Saccharomyces cerevisiae S288C: one gene and its partner. The gene in region 1 interacts genetically with each later gene. Each region holds a gene or a part of one and is shown in the gene's direction. Other genes may lie near its edges. The genes, in order: TLD1 and CRH1.

Evidence for each region.
Region 2: of TLD1 (region 1) and CRH1, extra expression of one rescues a mutant of the other (dosage rescue), as found in Saccharomyces cerevisiae (one study listed by BioGRID).

Annotation. Positions count from the first base shown.
Region 1 is NC_001136.10:1,010,259-1,021,956, forward strand, and holds TLD1 (triglyceride-associated lipolysis regulator TLD1), read left to right. Parts: upstream 1-1,993; coding exon 1,994-2,701; downstream 2,702-11,698. Other genes in the region: DON1 (Don1p), read left to right, coding at 1-1,015; YDR274C (uncharacterized protein), read right to left, coding at 1,331-1,702; PMP3 (Pmp3p), read right to left, coding at 3,218-3,385; MTH1 (Mth1p), read right to left, coding at 4,143-5,444; RNH202 (Rnh202p), read left to right, coding at 9,110-10,162; exosome non-catalytic core subunit RRP45, read left to right, coding at 10,489-11,406.
Region 2 is NC_001139.9:875,451-880,363, reverse strand, and holds CRH1 (transglycosylase), read left to right. Parts: upstream 1-2,171; coding exon 2,172-3,695; downstream 3,696-4,913. UniProt on the Saccharomyces cerevisiae protein: Dual chitinase/transglycosylase that plays a role in cell wall architecture. Chitinase and transglycosylase activities are coupled. Required for the polysaccharide cross-linking at the septa and the cell wall.

The DNA of each region.
Region 1 (11,698 bases):
TTCGGGATTGGAGCTTCCATCGCAAGACTATACAAACGTTGAAGAAAAAGAAAGTAGCCCGAAAACTGACTTTCCATTAATTACAAAGGAACATGTAAACACGAAAACTGACAGCAATATTCTCGATTATCCCACCATAGGCGATTTAGTTTCCTCAGTAGAGAAATTATGTGTCTTGAAAGAATTGAAGATAGCATTTCCAGAAGTAGATGATACATTAATTAAAGCCATTTTAATTGCCTCCCAAGGGGTTTTGGAGCCGGCATTCAATTCTTTACTCTACTACTCAAGTCCGGAGGAAAACACTGACTTTGCATTACCAATGAAGCCGATAAGTGTGGAAGACTATAGTAAAATAAATGTGTCTGAGATTTTGCAACGTGAAATATTCGATGATATTGAAGACGAATTTTCTGGTCAAGGAATAAATGGCTCCATGGTAATTTCAAAAATTGAATCAGAACTAAGTTCTTTGGCCGAACACATTGGCAACATTAGCACCCCCGGATCGAATAGAGAAGTCGCCGAATCGACTAGGAACGTGGCTGTTGCAGAGGGCCATAATACAATTTTATCAAACGAAGATAGTATACTCAAGGGAAAAGAGAAGGGAAAAGAGGAGGAAAAGGAGAAGGGAGAAGAAAAGGGAGTTAACAGCTTAAAAGGCGCCGCTGTGAAAGTTGTTGCGAAGTCATTGAAGAATAATCGCATTCCCGTCACTGTGAAGAGAAATGAGCCTTCAAACAATTTATTTGACGTTTTAAACTGCGACGAAAGCGAGGAAGAAGAAGAGCAAGATGTCGAAACCAATACGTCGAATCAAGAAAGGAAGAACCAGGGCGGTAATACTGAAGTGCCGGAGGCTCAGCGTGACAGTGCAGATAGGTTACCTGCCAAGGACGACGGTGGATACAAATCTGCCTTTGGCACTGATAGTTGTGGTCTATTTGCAGCTGACGCTAAAGATGAAAAAAAGCAGGTTCATCCATCTAGACAAGAATTAAGTTTTACGTAGTGTATAGCGGTAATGTTTATTAACTCTTTCGGCAAAGTGCGTTTGGGCTCGCAATGAACAGACACCACCATTGCTTCTTCTGCGCTTATTTGCCTTTGTTGTATATCTAGTTCTCAAAATGGAGTCATTCATCAGTCGATGTGTGGGCGGAAATGACGTTCATCTAGCAATGGCACACTAGTTTTTACTCAACAATTCAAACTCAATGGAAAGCCAGGAAGTTAGCGCCGGGAAACTTCAGGACAATATAAAAACAGGACTAACGGAAGAAAATAATGTGGGCCTTTTTGAGCAACGCTGACGGTAAGTAGTTTCCTACGATCGTACAATCCCGGAAAATTGTAGTGGTGCAAGAAGGGAAAAGAATGATGGCGAAAAATGCACGCGCGTAAATAATGATTTGTCGAGTCCTATTGACCACAAAACCCGCGGAAACCTAGTTAGCCCAAAAGGAAATGGATAGCATATGAAAAACGAAACGAAACGTCCTTTTGCACGGCAGAAAGAGCTTAGTAGGACCCGGGACAAATGCAAGTTAGATTCCTTGATTCCCGAATGCTCGGTCTTGCGTTTCGCCGTGGCTGCATGGAAGGTCATCGTACGGGTACGGGCAGTCTGGCTGAGTGGTGCCGCCAAAGTGCAATAGCTGTCAGTAGGGCGTGAGGAATGTAAAAGGCAAGAAAACATGTACGAGGGAAGAGAAGGGGGCAAAAGAAAGATAATAGGAACGGTGTAGATGAACTAGAAAAGGTTCAAGAGATGATAAACGTGAAGGGAGTGTCATATCTACCGACATAAAGATAGAGATCTTTTTTTTTCCTTTATTTTTTTTTTTGATTTTTTTTTTTGATTTTCTTGATATTAGTTTTTAGAAGTCCTTTGACGGGGCAGCCGGAGAATATATACCAACGGCATTCTATTGTCTTTTTTTCTTCCTTCCTTGCCAGGCATCTGCATCCATTATTGCCTTTAGTTACAATGTTTTTTTTCCCGAAGCTTAGAAAACTTATAGGTTCAACTGTGATCGATCACGATACCAAGAACTCATCAGGAAAGGAAGAGATCATGTCAAATAGCCGATTAGCACTTGTTATTATCAACCACGCCTTTGATAAGGTACTATCTTTGACGTGGCACTGCGGGATATTATCCGAAATAAGATCAGGACTGATGTTAATGTTTGGCATTTTCCAGTTGATGTGCTCTTTGGGTGTCATCGTATTGCTGTTGCCTATTATCATACTGGACGCGATCGATCTATTCCTCTACATGTGCAGGTTGCTTGATTACGGTTGCAAGTTATTCCACTACAATAGATCATCATTACCGGTGGCAGATGGAAAAGAAAAGACCAGTGGTCCCATAAGCGGAAAGGAGGAAATAGTTATTGATGAGGAGATAATTAATATGCTAAATGAATCCTCAGAATCATTGATCAATCATACTACAGCTGGTCTGGAATATGATATTAGTTCAGGTAGTGTTAACAAAAGTAGGCGTTTGAATTCAACTAGTACAGTTACATTTGTGAAGCAGAATAAACTTGTTAATGAAAGGAGGGAAGACGCCTACTACGAGGAAGAGGATGATGATTTCCTATCAAATCCGAATTATGATAAGATATCATTGATCGAAAAATCATTCACGAGTCGTTTTGAAGTGGCTTGTGAGCAGAAAGCTGCTTAAATTGATAATCAAGGTCAAGGCAACGCAACGCCACTGCTAAGAACACTTATTGCTACAGAAAGGAAACTAAAAATAATTATAAGGCTAGAGAGAAATAAAAACAAAATAAGAGAGATAATATGGGTAAGGGTCTGCCACCCATCTGATAAAAGGCTGTTCTATCTTTTGGAACTCTACAACACAGGTAAACGGATGATACTGGCTATATTTATATAGATAAACAAACTTGCAGGACAGATAGTTAAGCGTCTATATCATGTGTATTTTAAGCGAAGAAAAAAGTACAAAAATGATAAAAGGCAAAAAAGATGAGAAGTTTTTTTTGTGATAAAATTAATTATTAAAAAATACACACGTAGTTAAAATTAACAGCGGGGGAGGAAACCTTAAGAGAAAGAGAAACAAAAAAAAAGAAAGGAAACAAATAAAAATGAGGGTGACCCGAACATGTTGATACCGTTTCCTAATACTGCTTCCTTATTTCATTTGATAGTTACTTTCGTTTATTGAATGAGCTTAATCTTGTAGGACAATGTACAAGGCATATAGCATACCTGGGAACCAAGCCAAAATGGTCAAAATGATATCCACTATACAGTCAGTACCCCACCCACGGGCTAGAAAAACGGCGACTGGTGGTAAGAAAAGGGATAATATAATGTTAATGATCTTGGCAGAATCCATTGTTGTATTGTGCTGTGCTGTTTAGTTCAAAATGTATAATCAATTGTATTATACTGGCGAAAAACAACAACCGATAGTAAATTTTCTTCTTTTTTTCCTTTCCCTCTTCCAAAACAAAAACACTCACTTCCTCTTTTGTATTTATAGAGGCGCCCATCGCAAAATAACCAGGACCCCCTTTTGAGGGCGTGGTTAAAGGGCACCCAGAGCCCACACCCATTGCATCTTCCGCTATTAGGGGACTGCGGAAGTGAGGGGAGCAGTAAATAGTGATCTTTGTAATTTTCTGCAAAATCCCTCTCGCTGTCTCGGGTTTTTCGATTCAGAGGACCTTCCCCCCCCCATGTTCCGAGATCGGTTTTGGTGGTTAGAAGGCCGGAGGAAAGACATTTACCGCTTGCGCGCGGCTTCTTCTGTATGCTGTGCTCAACTACCAAGAGAAGGATTACGCGCACGGATACGTTGGATGTCTGCGATTGGTGATGCTAAGAACTAAAGGTATTTCGTCATCGTATGGTTTGATCTTCGCTACCCTTGACTCTTTACTGCGATAACGGTACCACGTTCCCATAAAATTCTTATTACTAAATCTCTATAAAGCTGCAACAGCTAGTTTGTATATATAAATCATTGGCGCTTCTTCCTCAATTCCTTGGGAATTTGGAGCTCCTCTATTAAAACTGATGTCCATGGGATAGTATTGATACAATCGAAGAGTCTCCAAAAAAACCATCGGGAAGGTTTCTTTTTAGTATCTTCAGGATACTGAATCCGGCTGCCAATCCAATCCTAATCTTTGGTAAACTTGTGCCTGACATTGCGACCATATCGTAGCCTTTTCTTCTTTAGATAAGCTGACTTTGTTTTTTCCCTGTTGATTTGTTGCGGCGCTTGATCTCATCATCAATTCATCAAGGTTATTATTGGGGTTTTTCAACTGAATGTTCTTCAATAAAGCCTTTTTCAGAAGCGATTTTGTTTCTGTGCTGTTTTTCCGCGGTATTATGCTTGGTGGGGGCATGTCCGGTCTTTTTAAGTTGGACTGTTGTAACTTCCATTTCTTATATTCGGAGCATCTTTGTTTGAAATCAAACCTGCATTGTGCCTCTACTGCTATATTTAAGAGGTAATTTTCGATGATATTTCTCCATTCCGGTTTCGACAAATTCATGACGGCTTCATTTCTACCAGTTATATGCTCATGTCTTTTTCTAGCGGTCGCTACTGTATATTTGGCGCTGGTTAGTTTGAATTCATAATCTAAGTTAGCCTCCATGTACAGATCCGAATGGACTAACGTTGCGATTATGGTCTCATCGCTAGAATATAGTGGTAATAATTGTAACCTAAACTGGGGCATATTATCACCCACCGTTATTACTTCCGGTAGTTGATTACCCCATTCGGGCCTTAACTTCTCGACTATCAATAACGATCTTATATCGTTTAAATCCCAATCCAATAACTCTCTCTTGGTAAACTTGGGACGCCCGTTACAGAGAATGTTGGATGGGTCTGCTAATAGAATATCTGGCGAATACATGTCATAAAACGTTTTGGGTAATGCTTCATCCAGGCTCACTCTCGTGATTAACTTGTGGTTAGGAAATTCGGAGAACGAAGAGTCATTAGTTAGTTGCGTGTGCACAGTAGAGGGGGCAGAAAATATACTTGATTGATAAGACGAGGCATTATCCGAAAGTAAACTCCCACTTTCAGCCACGCTTGATCTCCTGCTCGCTGAATGCATACTGCTTGAATGATGTGACCTTCTGCTAGGTGAGGAGGCCAATAATCTTTTTTTAATCTCATCTCTAGCTCTATCAGTGTACTCCGGAGGAGCATTCACAAAGTTCTCTCTTCTCGAAGAAGTCGTGGATTGAGAGCTACTCATTGATAGTGGCAAACTTTGAAAAGAAGCATTATCACTGCCACTCATCGTGTTTTCCGGAATGGCCTGTAGGGAGCTTGCAAACCCATGATTACTGTTAGTCGATTCTAATGGACGTCGTTGTAAAACTTGGTTTTTCGAAGTTGCTGGTGGTGGTGAAACAAACATTCCTTTGAGTGTGTGTACTCTATGCGTTCGAATAAAATTCTCTTTGTATTGCTGCTTGTGGTTTCGCTATTGAGAACTTTCAATATACGTTAAAAAATACTTGGAGTGAAATGAACAAATCTTTTTGTATGTTTCCTTAAGTTATTAAAAAACTCCATGCTGTTTTTTAATAAAAAAAGAAGCAGTTACAGGCGCATTACAAAGTTTGAGAAGAAAGGAAAAATGTCATTTGGTTATATAAATTTTTTTTCTTAATGGAGATTGAGGCAGCAATAAAATGTGGGATGAAAAAAAAAAAAAAAGGCACTTGAATAAGGGGTAGAATGGCAGATATTCCATGTCTACGGTAGTTTCACTGGAGAAATGGACTCGTATTTTCTCTCACGATGAATTTTTCCACAAAATTATAAGATGAGGAAATGTGTGGGGCAGTCATCCTAACAAAACTCGCACGGACTCCATTTCCCCGGACCTTTTTCCCGCTTGTTCTAGGGAATAATTTCGGAATAATTTTAGGGACTTCATAGTATGACTGGGTTTCAAGGAACGGAAAAACTGGTTAGTACCGCGTTATTCTGCCATTTGCTGATCGTTTTAGTGGAGGAGCGGAGGAGGGGGCGGGGTGATAACTTTTTTTCCGCTTTACAATAGAGAAAAGTCCAAGTAAGTCTCGGCGTGAGATGGCCTTGATGTTATTAGTACCGGCGGCTCCCTAATAGTTTACTAATACGCATACCTTATGTCATATTTTTCCATCAAATATTGATCAGTAGAAAACCTTGGCAATGTACATAGAGCTACACTTTTTTGGATATGGAGTATTAGAGAAAACTGGGTTTGGTGGGCGAAGAGAGATGTTCCCTACCTCCTCAAGAGTCTTCAACTATGAATTTCACACCATATCCTTATCTAAACGAACTATGGGGTGGTCAGCTAACGCAAGTATTGAATTCTTTCTCTTAAAGTACCCCTAAGTTGAAGAATTCATTTTAATCTTCCTTGCTTTGTCCCCCCCCCCTAGAAGCATAGTTTTGTCTTAACGCTGTAACGGTCTTGTATGCTTATTTTGGTGGTAGGGATCGGTTTGCACCTTGGAAATGCTATGTTTACTTTATTAAAAAAATAATTAGTTTTCCTCCAAAACGTAAACAAATATAAGTTTGAGAGACAAAGAAAAGAATGAAAGAGTCTTATATATATATAAGTTAGCTGGTAGCATAACCATTTTTCTCGACTTATTTATAAAACATTCGACATACTTCCATATTTCAAGCATTAATATGAGACCTAGAATTTTTTCAAGCTAACTTATGTACATTGTAGTTATATGATGAGGAAAAATGTACACAACAGCTTGTGCTGTTTATTCCCATCGTATGTTGCGGTAATGCAAACAGCAATAGAAAAAAAATTGATATAAGAAGAATATGACTAGTAGCATCACAGTGAAACAGTAACGGTAAATGAATCAGCATGTGAATTTTTCTAGAAAATAAAAAAGAAACTCCGAAGCGGGGAGTCGAACCCCGGTCTCCACGGTGAGAACGTGATGTGATAGCCGTTACACTACATCGGATTGTACCTTGGTGATAGTTTGACCTAAAAGAAACGTTCATTATGTAATGAAGAAAGCCAATTATTCGGTCGCAAATCAAGGTTCTGTTAGGGAATATGATTTTCTTTGACTCTCAATGAGTTCTCTTATGACTATTTAGGGGCTAAATTATTTGTTATGGCAATATTATTAGGTAGGAAAGATACGACTTTACTGAAATTGTTGGAAATACAAAAAGGAGCAGATCATTCCACATAATGATATCATTATTCCCTCTTTCATTTAAAAAATCACCGTTTTTATTTTATTAATTATCAGTCTCTGCATTTTCAGATTCTGTTAAATTTGATAAATGTTTTTCGCCGTTTATAAAGTATTTTTGCATCATGTATGATAATGTATTAGTAATATGAAAACTGGTGTTATTAATAATCAGTGGTCAGGATGTAGTATTAGTTTGGAATAAAAGCAAATCTCCTCATGCTATATAAGAGGAATATAGAAAATACAGGCCAGTTGTTCTTATTAAACATGAACATAATAGTGGGTCTAGCAGTTACTATACATTTAAATTGGCGACTACTATTATTCGTACATTCGACTATAGCAGTATTTCCAATTAATGGATCTTTAACTCAGCTATTATACTGTTTGAGTTCCTCGTTTAACATTTCCCTGTCCAACAGGGACTTAAAAGTATGTAGGGTTTGCATTAATATACAGTAGAGACACTTAAATTGTTACTATAGTAACTCAAGTTACTATTCGTGAGAATATTGACTTATTATTCTTCATGAATAGTCGATTAGTAATCAAATGAAGTAATCAGATGTGCAATGCGTCTTTAATGTTTCAGACTGGAGAATGATACGTAGCTACATAATAATCTGGGTACAGTAAACTCAATGATCTATTACCTGAATGATTAATCTGATGCTTGCAATATAACAATTCATCTCGTGACATTAACCATAAGAATTACTCTCATCATTGCTATATCGGCAAGGTTTAATATGTCCAGTCGGAGTGTATTTTATATCTCTTTCTTTTAGAATAAGAATATCTGCTTTTATTCTTAATCAATACTACAACCTAACTACTAACTATCAACACTGTTAATTACGATTCGCTCCAACAAATTTGGTTTTGTGGATTCTTAAATTCTCGAGAAAAACTTCTAATATATCTTGTATACCAGATACTGTAGCCTTTAGCAACGATAGAATACGAACAGTTCTCTTAAAATTCGCCTATTTCTCATACCGTTGCAGATATAACTAAAGTATTGACATTCAGTGACATCTGGCGCTGATATCATTATTTAACACACGTATGTTTGCGTGGCATTGTCATTTTTAAGAGCAGAGAAAGAAACAATGAGCTACTTGAGTGTGACAAGTTGAAAAGTCCACCAATTTCACGTTGAATTAGGATTCATATATGAAATTCTAGTCATTAATTAGAATTGTAAGTTTCTGAGCTTTTTTTTCCTAGTAAATTAAACTTGTCTAATACATCCAGTTGTGATGTATTCTATATCTCAGTTCTACAGTAGCACGAAGTTTCCCGGCCTCTCTATTCAATAAATTCAGCTATCGCTGATTATCAACAGCAGCAACGAATAAAGCATAAAAGAACAGAAAAATTCTTCTACAAATTTATTCTGTAAAGATTCAGCTTCTTTCGTGAATTTCTAAGTTCATGAGGGGAATTTAAGTATGGCGTTTCTTCGTAGCGCCATTGTCTTGAGCCAAAATGGAACTCTAAAAATTTTCACGACATTTTACTAGTCAGTAAAGTGAGCATATACATATAAGAAGAAATTTCAAAAGGTAAAAAATGGAGCAACTTCCAGCTCATTATCTTTTCAATGTTGTCGATGCCATAGTTGGATTATGAAATCTCATATTCATAACCACAACGCGTTTTTTTCCTTTTAAGGCACTACAGACTCCATTCTCACAAGTTTGTCAAAAGCACGAGCGCGATGAGAATTAAAGTCAGATCTGGTTAATGATTCTGGTACAACAGCAGAAACAAATCGAGTACAAATTTAATCTTATTCTGTCGCAATAGTTGACTTTCTTTTCTGGCCTCTCGAACAAAAAGCATGACCGTTTCCAACATTGGGGGGGAAGAACGACTAATAATTTTACCAGACGATTATGAAACTTCGAAAACTATAAACACTTTTACACTGCCGCCACCTTCCAATATTACATCCAAACCTCGTATCGAGCTCTTCGAAAATATTAATGGAAAACTTTACGAAATAAGATCTTTTCAATTCGGCAAAGGGCCCTCGTATTCACATGAGGAAGATTTGGCAAATGATAAATATCACTATACTAAGGAAAATCACCCGATCAAATCAACTTTCATTGTAAATACGTCTGATCCCACCGATGGTTATGTTTTTAACTCAAGCAAAATACACTTTTGTTCTTTATACGATATTGCTTTTAGTTTGATTGGATTTTACTATAGAAACAGTGTTTCAGCAGATGAACAAGATTACTCCAATTCAAGTGATACTGGTGAAAACCAAAAAAGCAACAGCAAAACCAATGAGAAATTTCTTACGGTGCGTGATTACCATGATTTCTTAACGGATAACCATGACAAGAATTGGGAAAACATTTCTTTAAGTCGTCTCAAGAGTGGCTTAGCAAAAGTTAGTGAAACCATTGAGGAAGCTGGTGACGTCTATTACAAGATCACATCTGCAATGATAACACAATTTTTGTTAGGCAAGGTATCAAAAATTGTAGAAAACTTTCCTCCAAGTATCCCTACACTTAAAAATGCCCCAACGGAAATAAAACAGTGCTACAAGGTAGTTATGGCTACAAATCTTTTAGTTTCCCTGATTCCAAGGGCGGCCTACCATAATTTACTTACCTTTTCACCTACAATGGATAGTGGTTGCCTAAATCCGGATATAAAAGCTAGCTTCATAGAACTCGAAAACTACGAGACTACGAACGAATTACAGAATGCTGAAAGAGAATTACTGATGAAAAGTGCCATGAATGTAGGCCTAAATTCGAATGGCAGGGTTTCATTGCCAGTGAAAAAAGTTACCAAAAAAATAGTTCAAAATAAAAAACCAAAAGTAGCCATAGGAAAAGGGGCCATTGATGGATTTTTTAAACGTAAGTAGCTAGTATCATAATTAAACAGCAATTTGAATGCTATAACTCGGTGGTGATGACCTCAGTGCGAGATAATTACACAATATTGTCACTACCAACGAATGGGCTACCTTTTTTTTCCTTTCTCGAATTCAAGAAAAAATTAACAACTTTTCCCTCGATGATGTTAACAAATGTCTGAATATAAAGGAATAGGAAACGGTTGCTAGATTGTATTTACCTTACCAACTTTCAAGTTTTTTTTCTAACTTCCTAACTTTCAGTCTCGATACATTAATCAACAGGACGTAGTGATTGCAAAATTGTTCAGAATATACATTAGATTAAAAGACAAATGGCCAAAGACATTGAGATATCCGCATCCGAGTCAAAATTTATCTTAGAAGCACTGAGACAGAATTATAGGTTGGACGGCCGCTCCTTTGATCAATTTCGTGACGTGGAAATAACGTTTGGTAAAGAATTTGGTGATGTTAGCGTAAAAATGGGCAACACCAAAGTTCACTGCAGGATTAGTTGTCAAATAGCACAACCATACGAAGACAGGCCATTTGAAGGATTATTTGTAATATCTACAGAAATATCTCCTATGGCTGGTTCTCAATTTGAAAATGGAAATATCACGGGGGAAGATGAAGTTTTATGTTCAAGAATAATTGAAAAATCTGTTAGGCGGTCGGGCGCATTGGACGTGGAAGGACTATGTATCGTTGCTGGCAGTAAATGCTGGGCTGTGAGAGCTGATGTACATTTCCTGGATTGTGATGGTGGATTTATTGACGCTTCGTGTATTGCCGTCATGGCAGGATTGATGCATTTTAAGAAACCAGATATAACTGTCCATGGCGAGCAGATCATTGTTCATCCTGTTAATGAAAGAGAGCCAGTTCCACTAGGTATACTGCATATTCCAATATGTGTAACTTTTTCTTTCTTCAATCCTCAAGACACCGAGGAAAACATAAAAGGTGAGACTAACTCAGAAATTTCCATCATTGATGCAACATTGAAAGAGGAACTACTGCGAGATGGTGTATTGACGGTTACGCTAAACAAAAACCGTGAAGTGGTACAAGTTTCCAAAGCGGGTGGTTTACCAATGGATGCGTTGACGCTAATGAAATGTTGTCACGAGGCTTACAGCATTATTGAGAAAATAACTGATCAAATACTGCAGCTTTTAAAGGAGGATTCAGAAAAGAGAAACAAGTATGCAGCCATGCTTACATCTGAAAATGCCCGCGAGATCTAATATTAACGAAAAAACTGAAATAAAAGCAACGCTTATACATATACATGCATGCATTAATATATGTATATATATCGGTACGTATAGATTGTAAAATTACACTTACTACTAAAGGCAGTATGAAAGACGCCCGCAGTTTTTTTCCTACTGTTTTCTTGACTGCGGTGTTCAAAAACATAAAAATCATTAAATTACTATAAAACAAACGCATACTGCGAAGAAAAAAGGCTCGGCTATAAATGCATATGAGAAAATATTATCTTTTGCCTCCCTGCTTAATTTCTGAAGGCATGTA
Region 2 (4,913 bases), on another chromosome or scaffold:
ATATTATACGTCAAAAAAACTTGGGAAGGACAATGAATTGTAATAACGCTGATGATATGTTGTTTTGATGAATTTTCTCCCAAAGCTATCTTTTATGACACAACAATGGACAAACTAGCACTATAACGATCGCAACAAATCTAACAGGGTGATCAATAAGGCGGAATGCACCTACTTCAACTCCTTAGCAGCAAAATTAAATAATTTGCAATTTTTTTTTTCAAGCTTCGAAAAACGGCACTAGGAGCATTTGTCGTTTCTTTTTTCCGAGAGTAAGGTGACAATTTAATGGACTAGGAAAAACTCAAAACGATGAGATGACTCGGGAAAAAAATAGCAAAAAGAAGGAACATCGGTCAGAAAGGGAAATGACGATCCTTAGTGTTTCTTGAAATAAACGAATTTTGCGTACTTGTAACAAAATTACTTTTCATTACCCCTTACACTTGTGTAATGACAAATGTTTTTGTAAGGAATTATGTTCGCCCAGGAATAGATGACATAATCTTGATAACGTGAAACAGTTTAACGGGAGATTAACATGGTAGACATACGATGATGAAGATCTATTGTAAATTTCCAGGTTGAATACAAAACGGAACTAGTGTTCTTCCACAAACACGAATATCTTTTTATTTGCGAACAAGAATTGAGAAAAGAAAAAATACACGGTAAGATATATAGAAATAAGATGTACAGATCATTATACGCACCCTAAGGGACTAGTTTGTGTGAGTGAATGGCTGTGAAGTTTTATATTTATCTTTATCTAAAGAAGAATTTACCTGTTTTTTTCGGAAAACTAGTGCGCCAAGAGAGTAATTAGGTAGACCGGGTAGATTTTTCCGTAACCTTGGTGTCCCATTTTCTTAATGATAAGTATCGATCTGTGGAGAGGGGTAAAAAAACTTCTCCTCGAGGTTATGAGAACTCACAAAGGGAAATTGATATTTCTACACAGTAATATTATATATTCTTCTTTATACACTTCACCCATTATTCTATCACATTATGAATTCTTGTGTTTCAGCCCCATTAAATCTGATGACGGTTTTCCATTTTTGTGTCATATTTTTACATTGTGTATGATAACGTAGTAGCTTGTGAACGATAGGTAGTAATTAATTCTGTTGGTAATTAATTGTTGAACTGTAGTGTCAATCAAGAATAAATGCAGATCTTCTTATTCTATATAAGAGAAGTATAGAATACAGCCTTATTAGTAATATTAAACATGCTCATATGATTATCATGAAAGCATATTATGATTTCAATGTCATGACTTACATCCGTATATGTGCAAACACCAAGTTGATCATTTGAGCAATAGGTGTTTAACTTACTTTGCCCACAATGCCACTTAGTGTGTTATCATTCTCCATCGTGAAACATCAATGATGTGTGGCGTCCGATTACTTCATATGGTCACTAATGGATTAGTTATGAAGAAGTATGAGTAGCTATTTTAAGAGATTCTAATTCAAACATTATAGCAAACACAGAATTTCGGCAGACAAGTAAAATGTTATATCTTCGATATTTCAAGATGAAGCGGTGGCTCAATGGTAGAGCTTTCGACTCCAATTAAATCTTGGAAATTCCACGGAATAAGATTGCAATCGAAGGGTTGCAGGTTCAATTCCTGTCCGTTTCATTTTATTATTTAATTTTTTTTTTTTCGGAAAAAGAGGCTGGACAAATATCGCGAACCGCGTGAAGTGGCTTAGTTTTCCTTATTCGGTTGAATTGATGACGCGTTTTCCCAGCCCATCGATTTTTTTGGCGACTATTTCGATGGCGTTTTCCAGGAAAGTAAAAATAGATCTGAGCTATAATGCATTAGAACCTCTGAGGGCTTGCTTTTCGTGGTATGGGATACGAAAATGACATTATTAATTGCAAGGGCAGTTTCTTTTCGCTCGATCAAGAAGCAATGTTTCCGAATCGGGAATGTGATATAATTAGAGCGTATGGTTACTGGTTTCCCTCATGCAACAATGGATGTTATATAAATACTTGCTGGTTAGTAACATGAAAAAGAACAAAAGGTGAAACACTTTTGGAACTTTCAATAATTGCCTACTCCTCTCCATATTCTACATTTCTACTAAATAGCAAGAGAAAGGTTAAGATAATATAATATTCATAATAATTCAATACAGCAAAAAACCATGAAAGTGCTTGACCTACTAACGGTACTCAGTGCCTCTTCATTATTATCTACATTCGCGGCTGCCGAAAGTACTGCTACTGCAGACAGTACAACTGCAGCTTCTAGCACTGCTTCGTGTAACCCGTTAAAAACTACAGGTTGTACGCCGGATACAGCTTTGGCAACTAGTTTTAGCGAAGATTTCTCATCTTCATCCAAATGGTTTACCGACTTGAAGCACGCAGGTGAAATCAAGTACGGTTCAGACGGTTTGTCAATGACACTGGCGAAAAGATACGATAATCCAAGTTTGAAGTCTAACTTTTATATCATGTATGGTAAATTGGAAGTTATCTTAAAAGCTGCCAATGGTACCGGTATTGTTTCATCATTCTATTTACAAAGTGATGATTTGGATGAAATTGATATTGAATGGGTGGGTGGTGACAACACTCAGTTCCAATCTAACTTCTTTTCTAAAGGTGATACCACAACATACGACAGAGGCGAATTTCACGGTGTCGACACTCCTACCGACAAATTTCATAACTACACTTTAGATTGGGCGATGGACAAGACGACTTGGTACCTCGATGGAGAGTCTGTCAGAGTATTATCAAACACATCAAGTGAGGGTTACCCACAATCTCCTATGTACCTAATGATGGGTATCTGGGCCGGTGGTGACCCAGACAATGCTGCTGGTACCATTGAATGGGCTGGTGGTGAAACCAACTACAATGACGCTCCATTCACTATGTACATTGAAAAGGTCATTGTAACTGATTATTCTACCGGTAAAAAGTACACATATGGTGACCAATCTGGTTCTTGGGAATCTATTGAAGCTGACGGTGGTTCTATTTACGGCAGGTATGACCAAGCCCAAGAAGATTTCGCAGTTTTAGCCAACGGTGGTAGTATTTCCAGCAGCTCTACATCCTCTTCTACTGTATCTTCCTCGGCGTCTTCCACTGTATCTTCCTCGGTTTCTTCCACTGTGTCCTCCTCGGCTTCTTCCACTGTGTCTTCCTCGGTTTCTTCCACTGTATCTTCTTCGTCTTCTGTATCTTCCTCTTCATCCACATCTCCATCTTCTTCGACCGCTACTTCATCTAAAACACTTGCTTCCTCATCAGTCACCACATCTAGTTCCATTAGTTCATTCGAAAAGCAATCCTCCTCTTCATCCAAGAAAACAGTGGCTTCCTCTTCTACAAGTGAGTCCATTATTTCCTCCACTAAGACCCCAGCCACTGTTTCCTCTACCACTAGGTCTACAGTTGCCCCAACTACTCAACAATCTTCCGTATCATCGGACAGTCCTGTACAAGATAAGGGTGGTGTCGCAACATCAAGTAATGACGTGACCAGTTCTACTACCCAGATATCAAGCAAATACACATCTACAATCCAAAGTTCTTCCTCCGAAGCCAGCTCGACAAACTCTGTTCAAATTTCTAACGGTGCTGATTTAGCTCAGAGTTTACCAAGAGAGGGAAAACTTTTTTCCGTACTCGTAGCTTTACTAGCCTTGCTATAAGTGGAAAATTTCTTTTAGAACAATATTCGTAGATCACTAAGTAACATTTGAGACCGAAAAAAATAATAGCATAATAAAAATAAATACTAAATTTTAATACAACAGAAAGTCTTATACCTAAAGCATGATTTTTCCTTTTATTATTAAGGGTACGGTTCATACAAAGGAAATTTATGTCATCGTGTTTTAAAGAAAAAAAGAAAGCCCTGTAGGGGGCTCGAACCCCTAACCTTATGATTAAGAGTCATACGCGCTACCGATTGCGCCAACAAGGCTATTCTATTATTGGAAATCTGACCTCTCAGGTTTAATATGTAATTAAGAATCTATAGACTCGATTATCCACATTTCTTTCTTTTTTAGTCTTCTGAGATTTGGGTGAATAATTCTGAGAGATGGGTGAATTTCGAGATAATTGTTGGGATTCCATTGTTTGATAAAGGCTATAATATTAGGTATACAGAATATACTAGAAGTTCTCCTCGAGGATCTAGGAATCCTCAAAATGGAATCTATATTTCTACATACTAATATTACGATTATTCCTCATTCCGTTTTATATGTTTCATTATTACATTATCAATCCTCGCATTTCAGCTTCCTCTAACTTCAATGACCGCTTCTCATAACTTATGCCATCATCTAACACCGTATATGATAATATATTAGTAAAACGAATACTACTAAATAAAAGATAATTTAGAGTTTCATTCCAACAATAGATGATAGTTGTAGTCCTTATTCTAACAGTTTATAATTCTCGAAGAAAACTTCTATTACATTTATGCCACAGTTACCCTTTCTAATAGGAAACTAAGTTCCATAAATTGTCATCAAGTTCTAACGCTGCCAAGATAGAAAACCATCAAACGTTAAAATATAAAGTGCGGTTGGATAAAAACTAGAGACATCGACGCTGTACGAAGAAAATATCGAAAGCTATCTCAAGGAACATAAAAATCCAATTCTGTAACAATTATATGCTGAATAGGTAAATTACAAAATAGAATTGTTAGATTTCGTTCTTAGCGAAGACAATAATGATATATAACATATATCAAAACATTCTCCTTTTGAGGTATTGAAAACATGCAAGTAGAAAGGCAATTGAACGTTTTATGTAATGGTTTCTTATCTTGATTTTATACGTCACCTCTCATTAATCCTTTTATCCCCCCAATTCTCATGGTTCAGTTTCCATTGAATCTGATGACAGTT